Linked DNA regions of Arabidopsis thaliana. The protein of the gene in region 2 interacts with the protein of the main gene of each other region in a pairwise test. Each region holds a gene or a part of one and is shown on either strand. Other genes may lie near its edges.

The links. Proteins that work in one complex are often made in the same cells at the same time.
Region 1: the proteins of STM (region 2) and BLH4 interact in binary tests that used the Arabidopsis thaliana proteins (3 or more experiments, as listed by UniProt).
Region 3: the proteins of STM (region 2) and BLH1 interact in binary tests that used the Arabidopsis thaliana proteins (3 or more experiments, as listed by UniProt).

The regions. Positions count from the first base shown.
Region 1 is NC_003071.7:10,107,184-10,115,017, forward strand, and holds BLH4 (BEL1-like homeodomain 4), read right to left. Parts: upstream 5,823-7,834; 5' UTR 5,703-5,822; exon of another isoform or gene 5,596-5,702; 5' UTR 5,554-5,595; coding exon 4,597-5,553; intron 3,830-4,596; coding exon 3,438-3,829; intron 2,436-3,437; coding exon 2,219-2,435; intron 1,242-2,218; coding exon 768-1,241; 3' UTR 526-767; downstream 1-525. UniProt on the Arabidopsis thaliana protein: Transcription factor that establishes leaf shape by repressing growth in specific subdomains of the leaf. Negatively regulates knox homeobox gene KNAT1/BP expression.
Region 2 is NC_003070.9:23,058,076-23,063,767, forward strand, and holds STM (KNOX/ELK homeobox transcription factor), read right to left. Parts: upstream 3,989-5,692; 5' UTR 3,648-3,988; coding exon 3,219-3,647; intron 2,759-3,218; coding exon 2,503-2,758; intron 1,813-2,502; coding exon 1,559-1,812; intron 931-1,558; coding exon 721-930; 3' UTR 507-720; downstream 1-506. UniProt on the Arabidopsis thaliana protein: Required for shoot apical meristem (SAM) formation during embryogenesis. Negatively regulates ASYMMETRIC LEAVES1 (AS1) and ASYMMETRIC LEAVES2 (AS2 or LBD6). Probably binds to the DNA sequence 5'-TGAC-3'. Binds to RNA.
Region 3 is NC_003071.7:15,088,237-15,094,299, forward strand, and holds BLH1 (BEL1-like homeodomain 1), read right to left. Parts: upstream 4,180-6,063; 5' UTR 3,991-4,179; intron 3,943-3,990; exon of another isoform or gene 3,880-3,942; 5' UTR 3,831-3,879; exon of another isoform or gene 3,551-3,830; 5' UTR 3,464-3,550; coding exon 2,621-3,463; exon of another isoform or gene 2,304-2,620; coding exon 1,915-2,303; intron 1,831-1,914; coding exon 1,770-1,830; intron 1,685-1,769; coding exon 935-1,684; 3' UTR 526-934; downstream 1-525.

The sequences.
Region 1 (7,834 bases), on a different chromosome or scaffold from region 2:
CTTTGTAGAACTAAAACGTCTCCGTCTCGATTGACATATCCCCCAATATGACATGTAACCAAACCTTTGGAGTTTTGGATAATTGTTTCTCAGAGAAAAAAACTAAAGAACCTAACTCAAAAGATTATTTGTTTTCTTTTTAAACAAATATGTCACGTTTTTCTTAACTATTTTACTATAAACTGAAGATAATACAATTGTTAATAAGTCGATCGGGTACGTACCAAGTATATTTTGTTGCTATTACTAAATTAAGGAGCACATAGTTGTAGTAAGTAGGGATTAGTTGAGATGATTAATTTGATATTACAAGGAAAGTGATGTGACTTATTGGCGCTTTCCTAAAAGACTGTTGTCGCTTATTAGCAAAAATCAAATGGAAGAATCCAATAAATGCTACACGAAATTTAGTTTCCAGAAAATATATGTACATAATCATAATCTAAAACAAAATTTAGAGTAATTTGGCAGGGGTATTAATATGAACAAAAAATTAGTATGAACAAAACTATACAAAAATGTAAGGATATAAGTTTCATGAATAAAATAAAAATATGTGCATAATTATATATGGAACTTTGGTAGCTAGATCTCACTTGATATATGTATATCTCTCTTCTTCTTACGACAGAAAAGACAGAAAAAAAAACTAAAGAAGAAAGGAAATTTTAAAAGTATGTGAAGAAACTAAAAACATATATCGATAAACCAAAAAAATAAAATTCACTATAATAAATTTTGATGAATAAATTGAGAAACAAAGAAGACTAAAAATCTCCAAAGTCTCTAACGGAGAAAGAAGTGTTCTTATCAGGAATATTGCCAGAGTGGCGTAGACCAAGCGTAAGAGACACGTCACCAGTCTGTTTGGTCCCGAATCTTATGACGTTCACACCATCTCCGTCGACGTGGAAGTCACTGACGTCTTGCTGACACGTGGCGACGGTGAACGCGTCTGAACCGCCGTGAGAAGCGGCGGCGACGGAAGAGAGGAATGAAGAGTCGTTTTCGTGATGTGTCGATGTCATCGTCGTTGGAGTTTGTGCGGTTATGACAGTGAAGTTGTTTTCATTGTTGTTGGGTTTCGTGTCGTTGTTGTTTGTTTGTTGCTGTCTTCTTTGTTGTTGTTGATTTTCATTTTCTTCTTCTGCTTCTTCTCTTTCTTTTGCTTCTTGTTGATACATCTCTTCCACCATTGGTTTCCATAGGCGAACCCTAGCATTTATGAACCAATTTGACACCTGAAAAAACGAGACATATGAACTAATATTAATCACAATTTACTCTTAACAAGTTTATAATATTAAAAGAAACTTAACTTTTAGAAGGAAAAAAAAACTTTTCAATGAAATGTGAAATACTCCTTTTTACATTAAATATGGTTTTGATTGTTTTTGTATATACTTCATTTGTTTTATATTAAGTAAAGTTAAAATAATAAGTCATTTACTGTGAAGAAAATTAGTTTAAACAAATGAAACAAAAAAAATAGGATAGCTAAAACCTTAAGTTAAAATGATAGGAAAGGAGTAAAAATTATGATACATGTGTTTCCTTTGAGACATCTATTAAAAAGAAGATATATATTAAATTTTTCATTATATTCTTACAAGAACAAGATAACTTTTGACATGTTTCAAGTAATTTTGATTTGATGTTAACTTATGTATTTACTGAAAGGCTTAGATGAAATTTCTAAATTAAAAATTTGAAACATAATAATGTTTTTTTATTTGAACACATGAAACATAATAATGTTAAAACAACAATTTGAAGGTTGAAATATACTAATGGATATTTGAAGCCAAGTGTAATAAACTACTTGTGATGTAAATAATTAATGTGTACAAGACTTAGAGGTCTGCTAGTTAACATTGAAATGAAAGCTTCAAACTTTCATGTACTTGAGAAATACTTACATCTCTCTCTCCTATGTTTTATATATCCTTGTGTGTGTAAGTGTAGATAATGTATTTAATGAAGAAAACGAACCCCAAGAAAAACAAATGATTCGTGATATTGAAAATCCATGCAAGAGAATAGACATGAAGCCACTCATGTCAGATTTTGCATGATGAAATGATTGATATATATGGTAAATTGTGAGTTAAGTACATATATGTAAATGAGTAATTAAAAGGGTTCTTGTATGATAAGTATGAAAACATATTATATTAAAAAAATATTGATGTATGTATCTATATAGATAAAGGCTGACCTGATTTCTGGATAAACCAGTCTGTCGTGCTAAGAGGTGCTTATCAGCATCGCTTGGGTACCTGAGAAAGAGACCAGAAAATGACTTCACAATCTTTAGAACCCTAAACCAATAATTTTTTTCTTTTCTCTTTTTTTGAATATAGATAGAGAGGAAAAACACAATCAAGTAGATGCAAGAAAAGGTACAAACTTTCTCCTTACAAGGGCGTGAGAATCTAAGGGACAAAAGAAAAAGCTGATTTCAGAATAGAAGCATTTTATTTTATTTTTGTATCTTAACTTATTTTTCATCATAAAGCAAAATATTTATCTGTACAACTCTTCTCTTCTTTACTTCACTAACAACAAAATAGTAAAATTCTGCAGACATTAAATAGAGAAAGTACTGATGAATAATGACAGAAGAAATTGCTTTTTTCAGCTTTTAGATTTTTTTTTTCCTCTTTTTGATTTCTGTCTTTCTTAAGGGACAATATACCAATGAAACTGTACCACTGACAAATCTGAGACTTATTTTTTTGTAGTTATGTTAATGGCATTGTTACTTCTTTTGATAATAGTATGTGGAATGAATTAAAGCAAATTAAAGAAAAAAAAACTATAAAGGAAAGGTTAGGCAGAGACAGAGAAACCCTTAGGATGCTATTATGATCCCAAAGCATAAAAGTTTGCGATCTCACTCTGCAAACTTCTTTTGTTGCATTAATTATTTAAACCCTTTAATTTGCCATGCAATATAACCTACATTAATATAAATATAAACATACAGTTTTCATGAAAGTCTCCTAGTCAATGAATTGTTACCCTTGTTATTTTGGAGTACTCTTAGCTGACCATTCTTATGGGTGGTATGAAAAGGAAAAAATATTTGATATTTAAATTTTTATTAGTAGTAATAAACATAAAATAATCAAACTCAGTGAAGAAACGGAACTTCATTTTACAAAAATTATTTTGGTTTTCTAAAAAAGCCAGCAGCTTTTAATTTTGATTGAAATAGAAATATATCTTCCCGCATAACAAAAGAGTTATAAAAAAAAAAATTTTTTTGTCACTTTCATAACTTAAGTTTAATAAACGTATATTAGTTAAAGTCTTGGTATCAATGCATTATGGTAGTCTACATTTTATAATGTATAGTCAACATTCAAGAAGATTAGTATTATCGAAGAATAAGAGTAGGTAAGTATTATTAAGGGATTAGAAAATGGACTTACGGATTAAGAAAATGCTCGAATAGCCAAGCTCTAAGGATATTAACGGAGCGTTCAGGCAAACCACGTTGCGGTCTCCATGCCTCTTGCTCCATCATACCCATATGATGAAACGCTCGTTGCTGACGCAAACTCTGCTCTAGCAAACGCAATCGCGGCGTTTCCCCTTTGGTTAACCCCGAGGATGCAGCCCCTGCCGCCTCTTTATCCCCTAGAAGCTCACAGCTGCGTTTAAGCTGAACCGCTACCGCGTCTTTCAAACACCGGAAATGCCTAGACATTGCCTTTTGAGCTAATGTCGTGTACGGAACCGCCGCGCCGTAACCCATTACTTGGTCGAATGAGTTCACTACCATTTGCATTTGTTCGCAGTAGTGGTTGTACCGTCGGTCCACCTACAAATTAAATTTTAAATAAATGAACTATACATAGATGAGTTCTTGTTTTTTTTTTATTAGCTCAATTTCTAAGATAAAATATAAACCTCAAGTGATTAGTTCGTTTAGATACTTCAATGTGTTATCTTCTCTTGCTAACAATTTATGCTATCTTGGAACATATACTAAATTCTTGAAAGAAGATAATGTCAACTACAAAATAAATTGTAAGATAAATAATGAAGTAACTTCAAGGACTAGTTTTGGTTACGTAGTGAAGGTGGCTAGCTTATATGGAGAAGGAAACTCTAATTTAAAATTTATGGTTGTGAAGACTAAATCACTTAATCAATCATATATTAATTTCTTATGTTAAATTTGATTAAGCGATGCCACCAAACGCGTGACACAAAATATGCATTAATATATCAAATTAGACCATATAACACCATATAATGATATTAGTTAGAAAAATTATATAAGTGATAGTAGGATTGCGTAATCAGGCTTTACCAACTAGAGCATGTGTCGTGCTCTTGTACCAGTCGGTCATTCTCTATACATTTATTTTTTTAAGAAAATAACATATATAGAGTTTATGAAAATATTGGTCGATTTAGAATTAATTATATAAGAAGAAAAAAATCACGAAGAAAAATAAAATTTTGTAGCGATTGATATGAAATTGGTTGTTTGATCAATTCAATCATTAGAACGGTTCATTAAAAGTTTGATAGAAAATTAATTAGTTTGGTTAGAGAAAAAATATTGAGTGAAAACGTTACCTCTTCAAGCATAGATAGTAGCTTGACTTTTCTTCTTTGATGTTCAATCCGATCAGCCGGAGACAAAGGAGGACTATCATTAGCTGTTCCGGCCGATGACGAGGACCCTCCGCCTCCTCCTCCACCGGTAGTATTAGGGTTTGAGTTGTTCCTACTAAGTTTGTTCTTCTTGAAATGTCCTCTTCCAACACTACAAAACTCTTCCAACAACTCTTGAGCCGGTTTCGTATATTTCGAATTCCTCAACGTGTAGATCCCTCCAATGGATGAAGAAGCCGCCATGGGAGATGATGATGATGAACCAAAATGTCCAACAACTTGATGGTGATGATGTTGAGAAGAAGAATTCTCAAGAAGAAGATTCTTGAACTGATTGAATTGATGATGATGAGCGGATGCGTTAGAAGAAGAAGAAGTTCCATCAACGGCTGCACAATAAATGCTTCTATATTCCTCGGCTTTAGCTGCGGCTAATGAAGATGAGAGAGATAAAGACAAACCCTTTCCTCCTTCCACGTGGACGGTTCCGATCATATCTCGGTTTTGATGATGATCGGAGGAGGAAGATGGCCATGTAAAGTGTTGTTGTTGCTGCGGCTGCATAGTGTTTTCGTCGGTGAAAGCAAAACCTTGATGATGATTTGGTAATAACATATGAAGAGTTGAGTTATTGTTGTTGTTGTGACGGTTTTGTTGCTCTAGCAACTGTTTAGTAGACTGATCAAGAATCTCTCCACCGGAACCGCCGCCACCTCCGCCAGGGTAAGCAAACATTTCAGACAACATTCCGGCGGTTTCATAAACCGGAATTTGAGCACCGGAGACGACGGCGGATTCATCTACTTCCTCTTGATGAGTGGTTGATGATGATCGGTGGAATCCATTAGAGAAGGAAAAGATTCCTTGGTGATGATGATAATCTTGTGACATAGAAGAAGTTGTAGTAGCTAAACCCATATCTTGTTATTCATTATATCTTTTTTCCAAAGCTCTTGGATCCTGTAAGGATTCAGACATACACAGAGAATCTTATATAACACATACAAAAAAAAAATACAAGAAAAAGAAAGAGAGAGAGAGAGAGAGGAGTCAACTAGGTATTATACAGTTTTTCTCCAATCTCTTTCTTGTAACTCTTTTAAGGTTCTCACTTTCAGCTTCGGTCATCATCTACATATATGGTATAGAGAGAGAGAGAGAGAGAGAGAGGAAGTACCTTGGAGTTGCAGAGAATTAAAGAAATGATTGATGATGAGCTTATAGCTATCGTTTTCTTCTATACCTCTCTCTCTAGCTTTCTTTTTCTTGAGTACTCTTTTTATTTTATATTTCTCTGTTAGTGAGAGTTTTTATTCAGCAAATTCTGCAAAACCAAAAACTTATAAAAAAATCTCTCCCAAAGAGAAAGGAAGAGAGAGGGAAGAGAGAAGAAGAGGTCGCTGTTCTTTCTTCATCGCCTCCCTTTTTAACCCACCAATCTTCTTTAATATTTTTTTGTTATTAAAATCTTGATTTATCATTTTTTTATAATGAAGTATTTTTATAAACATCTTCTTTTTAATTTTAATCGGCAAAGGTTTCTTCATATCAATAACGATGAGGAGGAAAGACAAAAAAAAACTATACACATCCTGAAATTACGAAATTATCCTTGTTTTTTTTTCTTGTCTTTTTTTTTTGTCAACGTTATTATTTATTTATAAGAGAAAAAAAAACTTTTTATCACGGAAATGTCGGCTGATATCAACATTTTAAAGGAGTTAATTTGGAAACTAATTTATGAAAGCAAACTAAAAAGAATAGGAAGATAAGGTGAGTCCAAAGGTCATATCTCAATGAACCAAACCACCACCATAAATACTTCCACATATTTTTGTGCTTCAATATATTCTTATTTCGAGCCAAAATAAAATAAAATAAAATATTCTTATTTGACAAATTAAATACTTATATAATATTCCTATGATGCTCTCTAATTTTATTCTTTAATATTGTGTGTATTTGTTGTTTAGGGGAGACCTATGTCATTTTAGACTACTTTTTCATGTATGTACATTTATTCAATTAACTAATCATACGATATATCAAAAATCGATCAAATTATAATATGAAACAAATGAAATACATAAAAATCGATCAAATTATAATTACATTTTGGTAACATATGTGGCTAAATCAATTATTTTAAATTTCTTTGCAGAAACCGCTATATTACATCTATCATCACGAAATCGTAAAAAAAAAAGCATTAGAGATTACCTCAAGCTTGATATGATAAAGCAAAAATCTAGCTGCAAATCGAGGTTGTTTCATTTTGTGTTAATTGATTAGGAAATATCTCATTCTGTGTTAAACGATACTCTCAACTTTCAAAATATTATTTTATATCTATATTAATTAATAAAACTTTATCACTCAAAGATTATTGAAATTTTTTTAAAATTGCTTTTTAGATTACCCATTTTAAAAAATATCCCTTTAACAATAATATTTTTAAAAATACCATTGTTTTAAAAAAAACCTTGATGTTATGACAACATGCCTGATGACTAAACCTCCAAATCATCTTTACAAAATATTTACTAAAATCCAAAGATTAATCCTCTGCACGATTTCACGGTCGGCCGATAGCCTTTCACCATCATCGATGTTTGTAATATGTAAACCATCCACACACAACTAATGCATGGAAAAAACGAAATTTTATGGTTCTGTAGTTTCACAACTACACCTTCAGCTATCTCTTTTTCTAAACCTATACTTATAAAATTAATTTCAGCCATACATTATAATGACGTTGTATAGATACAAACACAATTATTTTCTGTTAAAATTAACGTATCATTAGTCATTACATTATCCTAGGTATATTAAATATTAAAAAAAAAAAAATTTCCAAAATCGATTTGACGTGCGTATCCATCCCACAAACAGTTAGAGAGACATGTTGGATATATGCTATGTAGGTTATAAATCCACAATAGGATAAATACTAATGGAAGGCTTGAAAGCAAAAGTGAAAAGCCCACTTGTATATATATCTATGGAGACTTATGTTGGAATCTATCATGCCAGAATCAGATACCAAATCGAAAATTGTGTAGCACGCAAATTTTTGTTTGAACTATTTACTTAATCTAAATTAATGCAAGTGATTTCTCAATAAATATTATTTTTTGCTAACGGATAATTTAGAATATTTTTGTTGCCTATAAGAAATTGGACTATTTCCTAAATT
Region 2 (5,692 bases):
AACCATGTCCCAGTTTCAGGTTAGATCAAGTGGGAAAACAAATGGAAGATTGTGGCTATGCAGAAACTGGAACTATTCGTCTTTGGTAGGAACAAATTATGGCTATTGAAAACTGAAGATGATGAGGAGCATATGAAGAAGAATTTGAGAAGCTTATAAGCGTATATATGTGTAAAGATCACTCTCAGCAATGCTAAATGCTGCTGTATTGAATCGGTTCAAGATAAGTCATATGTTTGTGAAGATACATACAGCAGAAAGCGTTTTAAGGGACAAAACTATTAGAAGTGGATTAAGTTTTGGTCGATCTTGTCTTTTTGGGATAGTGATGGGTCTGTTTGGGCCAGACTAGGTCTTTTGGAGTAATAGCATTCTCTCTTTTCTTTTCGTCTTTTCCATCCCAAAAGTACAAAATTTCGACGCAAATACTTAAAAATTAGCAAGGAAGATATACATACAACCAAAAAATGGTCCAAATTGTCAAAAAGGTTGTCAAATAAAAAGAATAGATCAAAAAAGCTTTACTATCATTATAATAGGAATAGGAATTTCGCATAACAATAGAACAACACAAAAGGATACACACCACAACATCAAACGCTTGTTCATCAATCGGAACATGTTTCATATGTTCCAAGTATACCGAGAACCATAGATTATACATATTATAAGCTGTTTAACGATTATAAATATAATGAAATAAACGTTTTAAAGGATCGATCAAAGCATGGTGGAGGAGATGTGATCCATTGGGAAAGGATTGCCCAAGACATTATCCATGAAGTAATGGTGAGGATGTGTTGCGTCCATTACTACAAACTGCATGTCCTCCGACGGCTTCCAATGCCGTTTCCTCTGGTTTATGAACCAATTGTTTATCTGTTTCTGGTCCAGCCCCGTTGATTCCGCAAGGGCGAGCTTTTGTTGCTCCTGCAATTTCATATCACATGCGAGAAAAAATCAATCATCAAGTGTTCTCTCCGATATAAGGTCAGTCCATGATCACAGCTACATCACGATTTGCTAGATTGTAAGGAGAACTTAGAATCCATCTACTCATACGAACATGGGTAATGACACTATACAAGTGTAATAAAGACATGAGCTACTATTGCATTAGGGTATGGCCTCATGCACCCTACTTTCCAAAGTTATGACTTGAAATATGTGCAACAAAGTTTAGTCTAAGTTATGGTACACAGCCATAAGATGAAATTGATCGTAGTCTTGACTAAGATTGACATATTATTCGGACCCTAAAAAAGGTATGGAAGCAAGAATCAAGTTTGTCATCGGCTAATAGACCAAAACAGTACACATAGACTAAATAAGTTCACTTCATTCAGCTTTTAGGATTTCAAATTATGCAAATGCATATTGTGCAATGCCAACATGAGCTAACATAAACTAATGTCCCTAACGATATAGTATGAATGCAAAAATCACTAAAAACATTGAAACAAGCTAATAGACAACTAAATTGAATTTGCTATCATATAAATGCTTTTTTAAAAACATGAAATGATTATTTAATTAGAGTATAAGGGAAGAGAGTTACCGAAGGGTAAGGCCATTTGTAGTGACGGCTCCACCAATCAAGCAGTTGTTGACGAGCTTCTTTAGGGAGCTTTCCTTTCTTCCTCTTCTTCATGAACTCTTGCTTGAGGCTCCCTAAGTAACCACTGTACTTGCGCAAGAGCTGTCCTTTAAGCTCTCTATCCTCAGCTTGTGGATCTACAAATTCATTGTTCATATCGACTTCTTCCTCGGATGACCCATTATTGTTCCTATCAATTGCTGTCTCTCCATAACCTTATATTGATTAAACATGTGAAAGCAAGACAAATTTGTCAACAAGAACATGTGTCTAGGGAAATGAAAAAGAATAGGCTAGTGATCCAAATAATTCAAAGTAACATGTTAAGTAGATGTGAGTTTGTGTGTCTATATAAACTTAACTACATTCTTGAAAAGAAGAGTGATATGACATTGTGTAGATATATGTATATGTGATTATACGTACAAAAACATGTGTATGTCTAAATTGAGCAATAGATCTAAGGACGAGCAGACTCTAGATCCAGATATTCTTTTTGATGCATTTGAATTAAATAGATCCAAAACAAACGGAGAAGAAAGAGACAAGAACAGTGATTGTTGTTGTACCAAAGCAAATGAATTCAATTCCAAACAAAACAAAAAAACAGTAAACAAACTGTTTTAATTCAATGAAAACAACTACATACACTAACTTATGTATAGATAGATTATACACGTAAACCTAGTAAGCTATATATAACAATCTGACACTAACCCTAGTAACAACCATCAAAGGGGTATTTACCCAAGAAAAATCAGAAAAAGGAAAATCTTTCTTAAAACCCACAAAGAAAAAAAACAACTTTCCTCATCTTACGTTTAATTTGACGCCATAATTAACAAGAATATGAATTAAAAAGAAAGAAAAAAAAACAGAGAACTAGAGAGAGAGGAGAGAGTAACCGGAGAAAGAGGAAGGTGAGGATAGAGAGAGGGATTTGAATTGACACTCGACACGTTGAAGGAAGACCATAGCTTCCTTGAAAGGTTTGGAGAGCTCTTGCTCATACTTAACGAGCATTTCACAGTAAGCTTCCATGAATTGATCAAGCCCTGGATCTTCACCTAGACATCCTGTTGGTCCCATAGATGCGGCAGCGGCTGCGGCAGACGAGCATGCCTCCTCTAGCCTCGCCACAACCTCCGGTGGTGCTCCAACCTTAAGAAATTGTGTAATTAGTAAATGATAGACATAAAAACGTTAATTGAACTAAGATAAGGATCCTCACGTTTATTGTGGATATATAATATAGTAAAGAAAAAAATGAAATAATTATATATGTCCTAATCTTCAAGCCTACATACAATATTTTGGATAATCTCTTGCAAGTAGGGTTTTTACAAATTGTTTCTTGAAACTTTCTCAATATAGGAAAAATTGTATCCTTTGATTTGTATATACTTAGCTGGGTTAAGTAACTAGTAAACAAAAGTAGATATCAAAATCAAACTCAGACATCAAGTAAAGGGTTATGTAAAAAGGAAATAAAAGGTAAAGTTTGGTAATTAGGGTTTCTAGAATCTTTCTCTTCTTTTTTGTGCAAGAAAATCAAATAAGAATCATTAGAGTTACGAAGAAACTTTCAAAGTAATTTTTTCAAGTTTCTTTCTCTCATCACCTTCTGACAATTGACATAAGCGGCCAAGAGGCGGTGGTAGTGAGGATGAGCCATGATCTTGGCCTTGACAGAGGCTGAAGAAGAGGAAGAGGAGCAAGGGTTGATTCCTCCTGCAACGATTTCGTTATGATGGATCTCCATTAGAGAATAGGCAGGAGCACAAGAGGAAGGAGAAGAAGAAGAAGCAACTTTGTTCTTAGTTCCTTGGGGAGGAGCTAGTGATTGAAGAAAAAGGGAACTACTTTGTTGGTGGTGTGACTGATATGCATAACCATCATGTTCTTGTTGTTGATGTTGATGATCATGACCATGATGTTGATGTGATGTCATGATGGGCGGCATCATCATCATCATAGGACACATCGGACCATCACTATTATCCCCGGCAAAAGCCATTGGACAAGAAGTGCTGTTGGAACCACTCTCCATCTTCTCTTTCTCTCACTAGTATTATTATTCACTTTGGCTTTGCTATATAGCTATGAGAAATAAAAAATGAAAATAACATAAAGAAAAAAAAAGAGGAGCCCCCATTGTAAATACAGCTAGCATTTATCATCAATATCATGAAACACATTAAAGTACTATAAATTTATTGGGAAACCCTAAAAGAGTAAGTAACTGTGTGTGTGTATCTATGGTTTAATTTAATTATTTGAAAATGCAAAAGTGGTCTCCCGGGATTTATGCTTCAACAATCAGCTTCCTTTTCCACATTGAAAATTCTAAATAGTGATAGTTATGGGGGAGAGGGAAGCAGCAGAAGAGAGACCAGGAAGATAAATCTAAGGAAATTATTATAAATAGGAAATAACTTTTTAGGAGAAACTTATTTTAAAAAAGTGTAAAAAGCAGACATGGACAGAGGTTGTGTGATCTGTGGGTTCTTAACTCTTTTGTGTTCTTCTGCTGAAATATGATTTCTCATTTATGCCTTTTCGGAAATTAATGTTGTAATTTCTCTTCTTCTTTTTTGAGGTAATAAACCGGATCTCAATTTATTTTTGACAATTTCTTGAAATGGAGAAAACCGGAATGTGCCTCGGAAAGTCCAGTGAAAGATATATTGGAATTTGTTATTTCTTTACCATGGGTCGGGAGTATCAAATCGAATGTTGTCATTTGGTTTTGGTTTTCATACCATGAATTCCCAAAAGTCTAAGTTTCCTGATGGGATATACGTATGCTGATGTTGGTTTAAAAAGTACATTTGTGTATATGTATATATGTATATTATATGGTATGTGAAGATATTATTAGGACTGTTGTACTCAAAAACTTTCTTAGATTCTCTCAATAATTAACCGATAGATCTCCATATAGTATAATTTACGCATTTGTTTCAGTAACATATATTGGATTCGCTTTTGTCAATAGGAAAAGATAGCAGTCTTAGTAATTTTATAATAAGTGATCTAACATTTGATTGCAATCAAAGTTTTAATACTATTGTAAATGTTCTTATGGGAAAAAAATGTTGTTAAGAAGAAGAAAAATGTCATAAATATAATCATAGAGTAAAACATGTAACTGTTTATTTGTTATATAAACGAAAATATTAAACACACATTTTACCTTAAAAAAAAAGTATCTTGTATTCTGTATTGTTTTTAAAAAGTGACAACTGATGGCTTGTTATATTAGACAACAATGAACCATTTGTATTTGCCACCATTATCATGTTCTCGACCTTTTTGGTCGATTGATTGTAATATTAGATGGTAGACCTCTTGCCACTTGAAAAAATAACCAATCACATTCAGACCACTAACCAAATCTATCGAGGCATTTTAATTAGAATAATATACGAGGCTATTAACAATTGTTAGCACTTCTTCGAACGTAGAATTGACTCAACATAGGACACATGTTACTATCAAGAGAATAAGCATGGGACACCTGTACCTGTTTATCCCTGAAAATAGTATACAGACTTGAGAAAAATTCATTTACGATTGACAAAGTAATTCATCAATTGTCAATTTGGAGGATTGTACGAAGGAAAATGATATTATGCATGTTACTTTAATACACAACGAAAGAAATGTATAATTTTACTTTAAATTTAATTGTCTAGTTCAATACTGTGGGAAAAAAAGAAAAACAATACAATTAAAATTATCAAAATTGATAAGTACATTACATCAGTGCCGTTTATTCGATCAACATTTCACTAGCCGTATGTATTGCTAATTTTGTTATCACTATTCGAAATATTATTTAGAAGTTGGATATACTATATATTCCCATACTCGTATGTCTATGTTTATAAGTAAACTATATAAAAATAAATATGTTAAAAAAAAGTAAAGACCAGTATAAAGCTAATTTTTCTTGCTTTTAGGTTAAGGACAGTGATTCGTTGAAATCAAAAGTCTTAGAAAAATATTGAAGAGAGAAATCTTCAAGGCAAAGTTTTACTTTCCCCATGAAAGAAGAAAAAAAACTCTCTCCTCAGCCACTGCCTTCACTGC
Region 3 (6,063 bases), on a different chromosome or scaffold from region 2:
TTTGGCTCCGATAGTCGCAACATATTTCATGTGTTTCACTAAATTTCATTATTTATTAATATCTATAGAAAGGTATTTGGGCCCAAAAAAAGTTATGGGCCGAAAATGAGTAAAATATATATTAAATATTCGCATATGTTTTTGTAAACTTTTTTCTTACAAACCTCTCCGAAATTAGTCTCACACTCTCACGCAGTCTTCATATAAATATTCTGTCAATGTCTTTAATAACAGAAAAAAAAAATTGTTACTGTTATTGTAAGTTTATCTCTCAGCAGGTGACGCTATTCTACAAAATGATTTGAACATTTTCATTTTTATATATCTTGAAAAGAAAATTTATAACAAGTTTTATAAACGTTAATCTTAATTGATTTAAAAAAAAAAACTATACACAAAGTTTGAAATCTGAATTCAATTCAACAGTTCGTAAGATCTTATTTCAGAGATTGCTTTCTTTGTTTTTTTTTATATTTGTATTGTGAATGTGTAGAATTTTATTTAATATGCTTTTAACACATAAACACTCCTCAAAAAATATTATAAGTTTCCAGCCGCTTAAGCATACATGTCATATTCGGAATCTATACAGCTTAGATCTAATCTGTAATCATCATTCCATATTTGATAGATCAGTTCACTATCTTATTAATTATTACATTGTAATAAAAGTAAAAATATATTTTGGTATACACCCAATGCAAGCTATTACACGTAACTAATCCATATACATATATAACCCTATCCATCCCCCAATAGAAACGAAAAAAAAAAATTACAAAATCGATATACAACCGTCGGCCATATATAACCAAAGACTAAAATTAAATTTTGTTCTTTGTTTTGGTTCAATGGTATGAGAAACTATATACTAATTAAAAACTAGAAACGTATATAATAACCTGTTTCGGTTTCTCCTTCTAGAGAGATGGGTTTATGCAACGAAGTCGGGCAATAACTGAGCCACATATCTCTTCTGGTTCTGTATGTTCATCCCATTGTAAGCCGCGGCAGCTGCCGCTGATGAATGTGCGGTTGTGGTCGAGCTACCACCATTGATGGTGGCGGGTCCATATTCCTCTGTTTCTCCTATTTTCACTCTTCTCCCTATAGGAATCCCATGGTGGGTCTGCATGAAACCCTGATGGTGCGTGGACGACAAGCTATCACAATGAGGTAAACCTAACGTGAGGGACACGCCATTGTTGTTTCCTGAGTACCTTTGCGCCATGAGCTCCTGGTCTGAGACTACATCAAATCTTGACATCTCATCCATTTGGTATTGCCCGAAATTACCCATGAAAGGGTAGCCACCATCTGATCTTATCCCTTGCCGTTCTTCTAGAATCTTCATCGTGAGCTTCTCGTTGGAGCTGAAATCCGCATTTATTGGCTGCATCATTGTCTCGTCGCTGGTTCTTAGTCTCTTGGGGCTTCCTTGCATTCCAGTGACGCCTTCTAGGTCACCGTTGTGATTGGGATTCATATGGTAATTAGTGTCCGCCATTGGGCTCTTTTCTTGGTTACTTGTTGACTTTGAAGCAGAATCTTCGTTGCTTTGATCCAAAGGAGTCTTTTCCATGGATCCCATGTTCTTTGCCTGCTCCTTCATTTCCTCCATGTACATCTCCTCCACCATTGGTTTCCATAACCGAACTCTCGCGTTTATAAACCAGTTCGACACCTAAATAATTAAAGAAAATAAATTTACTTAAAAACGCTTTCTTAAGTAACCTAATAACACAAGAAAGAATCATTTTGAAACGTACCTGGCTACGAGTGAGTCCTGTTTGCTTAGCTAGCATGTGCTTGTCCGAATCCTTAGGGTATCTAATTAAAAGAAAGACAACTTAGAGACTGAGTTTGTGTTCCAGTGATGAAAAGTAGTGCATGTGTGTATAGTGGGTTACTTACGGATGAAGAAAGTGTTCGAAGAGCCAAGCACGGAGAACTGAGACGGCTCGTTCTGGGAGACCACGTTGAGGTCTCCAAGCATTATTGGAAGGATGTTGAATCATTCCCAGTTGTTGAAGAGCTCTTTGCTGTCTCAAGTGGTGGTCCACGAACTTGAGCCTCGACCCCTCAAACCTCCCAACACCAGACACTGAATCTTCCTCCCCAAGACTCTTGTTGGCCGCTTTTATCTGACCAGCGATCGCCTCTTTCAAGCAACGGAACTGTCTTGATATGGTTTTCAATGCTAGCGACGTGTATGACTTCGCTGATCCTATCCCTGCCGCTTGCTCGAACGAAGAGATCACCATCTGCATCTGCTGGTGGTACTGTCTATATCTCTGCTCCACCTTTTCATTTTTCAACCAACAAAGTAACGTGAGTCTTATGAACATAAGTGTACGGTCTACATAAATATAATCTATAAAAGTTGTTAGTCTTTACTAAGAGAGGGACAAAAAAAAAAAGATTTCATCAATCTTGTAAGTTGTCAATTTGAGAAATCGGAAGAGCAAAAAAAAAAAAGGATAGCTTAATATACATATAAAATGAATTGTGAAAATGACTGAAAATCTTAGGGACAGAACTTTTAAGTCCACTTCATGTGTGATATAAGAGAGCACTCAGTATATGTAGGCTTATTGTATATAATACGTATTGTTGTTACCTCATGAAGCATGTTACTAAGTTTTGCTTTCTTCATCTGTATTTCTTGTCTCTCTGCCGTGCCTAGCTCCACCGGACGTTTCCCGGCTGCTTCTGCTCCGCCACCGGAACCTTCTCCTCCAGCGCCGGCCGATGATTCTCCGACAGGTTTATCATTTCCGCAACTACCCTTTTTCGATGAGAATAGTTGGGATTTAGCGTTCATGTCATCGGAATCAGCGTTGACTACTTCGTCAAGAAGCTCTTGTGCTGCCTTCAAGTACTTGGAGCTAACAAGATTAGCTATACCGTTTGTTACCCCCGATCCTGTAGAGCCAGACCCGACCCGGATATCTTCTCCATGTCCGGACCCGAATCCGACGTGAATAGGCTGGTGTTGTTGATGATGTTGCTGTTGCTGCTGCTGTTGAGACGAGAGGGTTAAAGAGAGGCCTTGCTGCGCGCGTGGCGTCTCACACGCGGCTTGCTGGTGAGTGGGATCCACTTGGTGGCTACCGTAGAGACTGTACTGCACGCGCGGAGGATAACCGTGAAGTACGGAGATGTTGTCGGCGGCTGTAATGGAAGCAGCTTCGTGACCTGAGAGTGGTATTCCGACGAACTGCTGGCTCGCGTTTGGCTGCGGCGCGTGGGAATCGAGGAAAACGAAACTACTGTTGTTGTTGTTTGTGTTTGTGTTTGTGTTGTTGTTGTTGCTATTGTTGCTGTTGTTGTTGTTGTTCGAGTCGTTGTCTTGTTGGGTGTACTGAACGTAAGTAGTTGGATTCATGAGGATCAACGTTTGAAGACCACCGTCGGATCCGGCAGAGATCTCCGGTGGGTTTCCGTGAAAGTAAGCAGCCATCTATGTATAATTAGTAGTTGTTACACACGAATGAAACGACGTCGTTTTCTTTGATTCTCTTTCAATTCTTGACCTTCTTTCACCAAGCTGATTGATATCATAGAAAAACAAACAAAAGTATGAAAAAGGAGCAAAAACAAAACCACTATAAGTTTAATATAGATCTGTATATATATACAGTTGAAGCGAAGAAAAAAAGAATCGTGATCACATCAAGAAGACGAAGAAGAAGGGATGAATTATGGATTATGAGAAAGAGAGATTGAAGGATATGGAAATTAAGACATAATCATGATTGAAAATAAAATAATAAAATAATAGAGTTAGAAATTGAAAGAAAAAATGAATATTATAAAAGATGAAGAACCTGGATTGATAGAGATCTGAGGATGCACGTGTTTCATGATCATCTCAAGCTGCAAAAGGAAAGTTACATTAGAGAATTTCTATCAAAGAGAAAGAGAGAGAGACAGACACACACACATACACACGAATATACACTTATATATATATATTTATATGCATACCTGTGTTTGTGGAGATGTGTGTGATTGCTATGTGAGTTTGGTCTCTGTGTCAGACTCAAAGATCTCTGCAACTCTTTTCTTGCTCAAAGGGGAAATATAAAATACATTTAAAAAGCTGAGAAATAATATATAACAAAATAAAAATGACTAATATATATTGAAAGAGAGAGAGGATAAAGAAAGGAGAGATAAAAGATACCCATCTTTTCCTTCACTCATTAATCTTCCCACAGTCCTTAGTACGCCACCATTTTTCATCACTTTCTTTCTATTTTATTTTATTTTAGTGTTGTGGTCGGTATATCTTATAACCAAAGTGGATTTTTTGTTAAATGGGACAATAACCAATGTTTAGGACATGAAATATTCACTAATGTAACTTAATTTTACATTCATATATTGATATATACTTGTATCCGCAAAACAATTTGTGTGTGTGTGTGTGTTTACGTTCACCACCAGCTAATATTACTTATCTTTTTAATTTAATATGCTAAATAGACATTCCAACCATGTTGGAATTTGTTTTCAAAATTGATATTAAACTCTACACTTAGATATAGCTTTATGTAATCATTTAAATTAGTGTACTCTAGAGCAATTGGTTCAACAGTTTTTTTAAATAGAAAAAGATTAATGAATAAATTAAGAAAAAGACATAGCATTCTTTCATACTGCATGTTCAAAAAACCTTTACTTCATGTTATTATCACTATATAGCATGGTGATAAATAAGTTACAAAGTACATATATATCATAGGGAGCTAAAATTCATAAAACTAAGTGAGAAAATGTGCATATAATTGTTTGTTGTTGAAATTCTAGTTTGACATCCAGTACAAGAGATAATATTAAATTCGAAATATTTCAACTTCATAGACATATGTATACATTATTTGGTAATATATATGTGATACGTATCTTATTATAAATTTAGAATTGGTATACTTGAAAAACAGAGGAACTTGTATGATATGACTTTGGCCTTTTCATGTATTGACCAGGTAATGAACCCACATATCATAACAACCAAACACCCTTTATTTAGTTATTTATAGACGATATAATTTCATAGATGAAGTAAATGTTATCACATCAAGACATAGTGATATGTATGTCGTGTCCAATTTAGAATCATATCATTTTCTTTTAAAACATTATATTTGTATTTATTTAATAAAAAGAAATCCCACACGCATCTCAATCCAAATCTTTCTTTATTGATATAACTACAATCCTGAACATAAAGTATTCTTCGGATTACTATTCTTGCAGACTTTTATCATCTAGCAAGTTCAGAGTGTACACTGAGGATGGCAACGAACTTTGAACTGATTATGATTTATAAGTAATAAAATTAGTAATGTTTACGTTACCAAGTTCTTTTCATTTTTTCTTTTTTCAACTGTTTTTTTCTTTAATTTCATTTCATTATTTTCCTCAGCAGATTAACTAAGATACTTTATTTACAAAGTTTTATATTACCACATACACATAAAAACTTAAAACGCATCAACACTTTATTCTAGAAAATGAATAGATTTCATTTTTGAAAGTCCTACCGTTAGTTTATATTTTTCTTCCAAACACTCAAATAGGTTAAGAGTATAATATTTTAAATATACATAATGGGATTAGAGAAATTGAAAACTTATACGGAAAAGTGAATTGTGTCAGAAGATCCAAACAGCACAAAAACGAGGAAACGTCTCCTTCTGCAGAAACCTAAAATATTTAATCACACAAAAATCTAAATTATTGAGAAAGAGAGGAGAGAGGAAGAAAGAAGATGATAACGATAATGATAATGAAGCATGATGGGGAAAGAGTGGGTCCCGTTAAATGTATATTTACTTTTATTTCTTTATTTCATATATTCTTTTAGTTTACCACGTATGTCTATTTTTAAAGGGTATTTGACTAAAAGTATTTTATTTAAAATATAATTAGAAATATAGTAGATAATTTTAGTTGATTAATTGCAAAGAGTGTTTAAGTTCATGAGAAAGTCTTTTTTAGTAACTTGTATTTATTTTATTTATACGATATAGATAATTATAATTTGTATGTAGA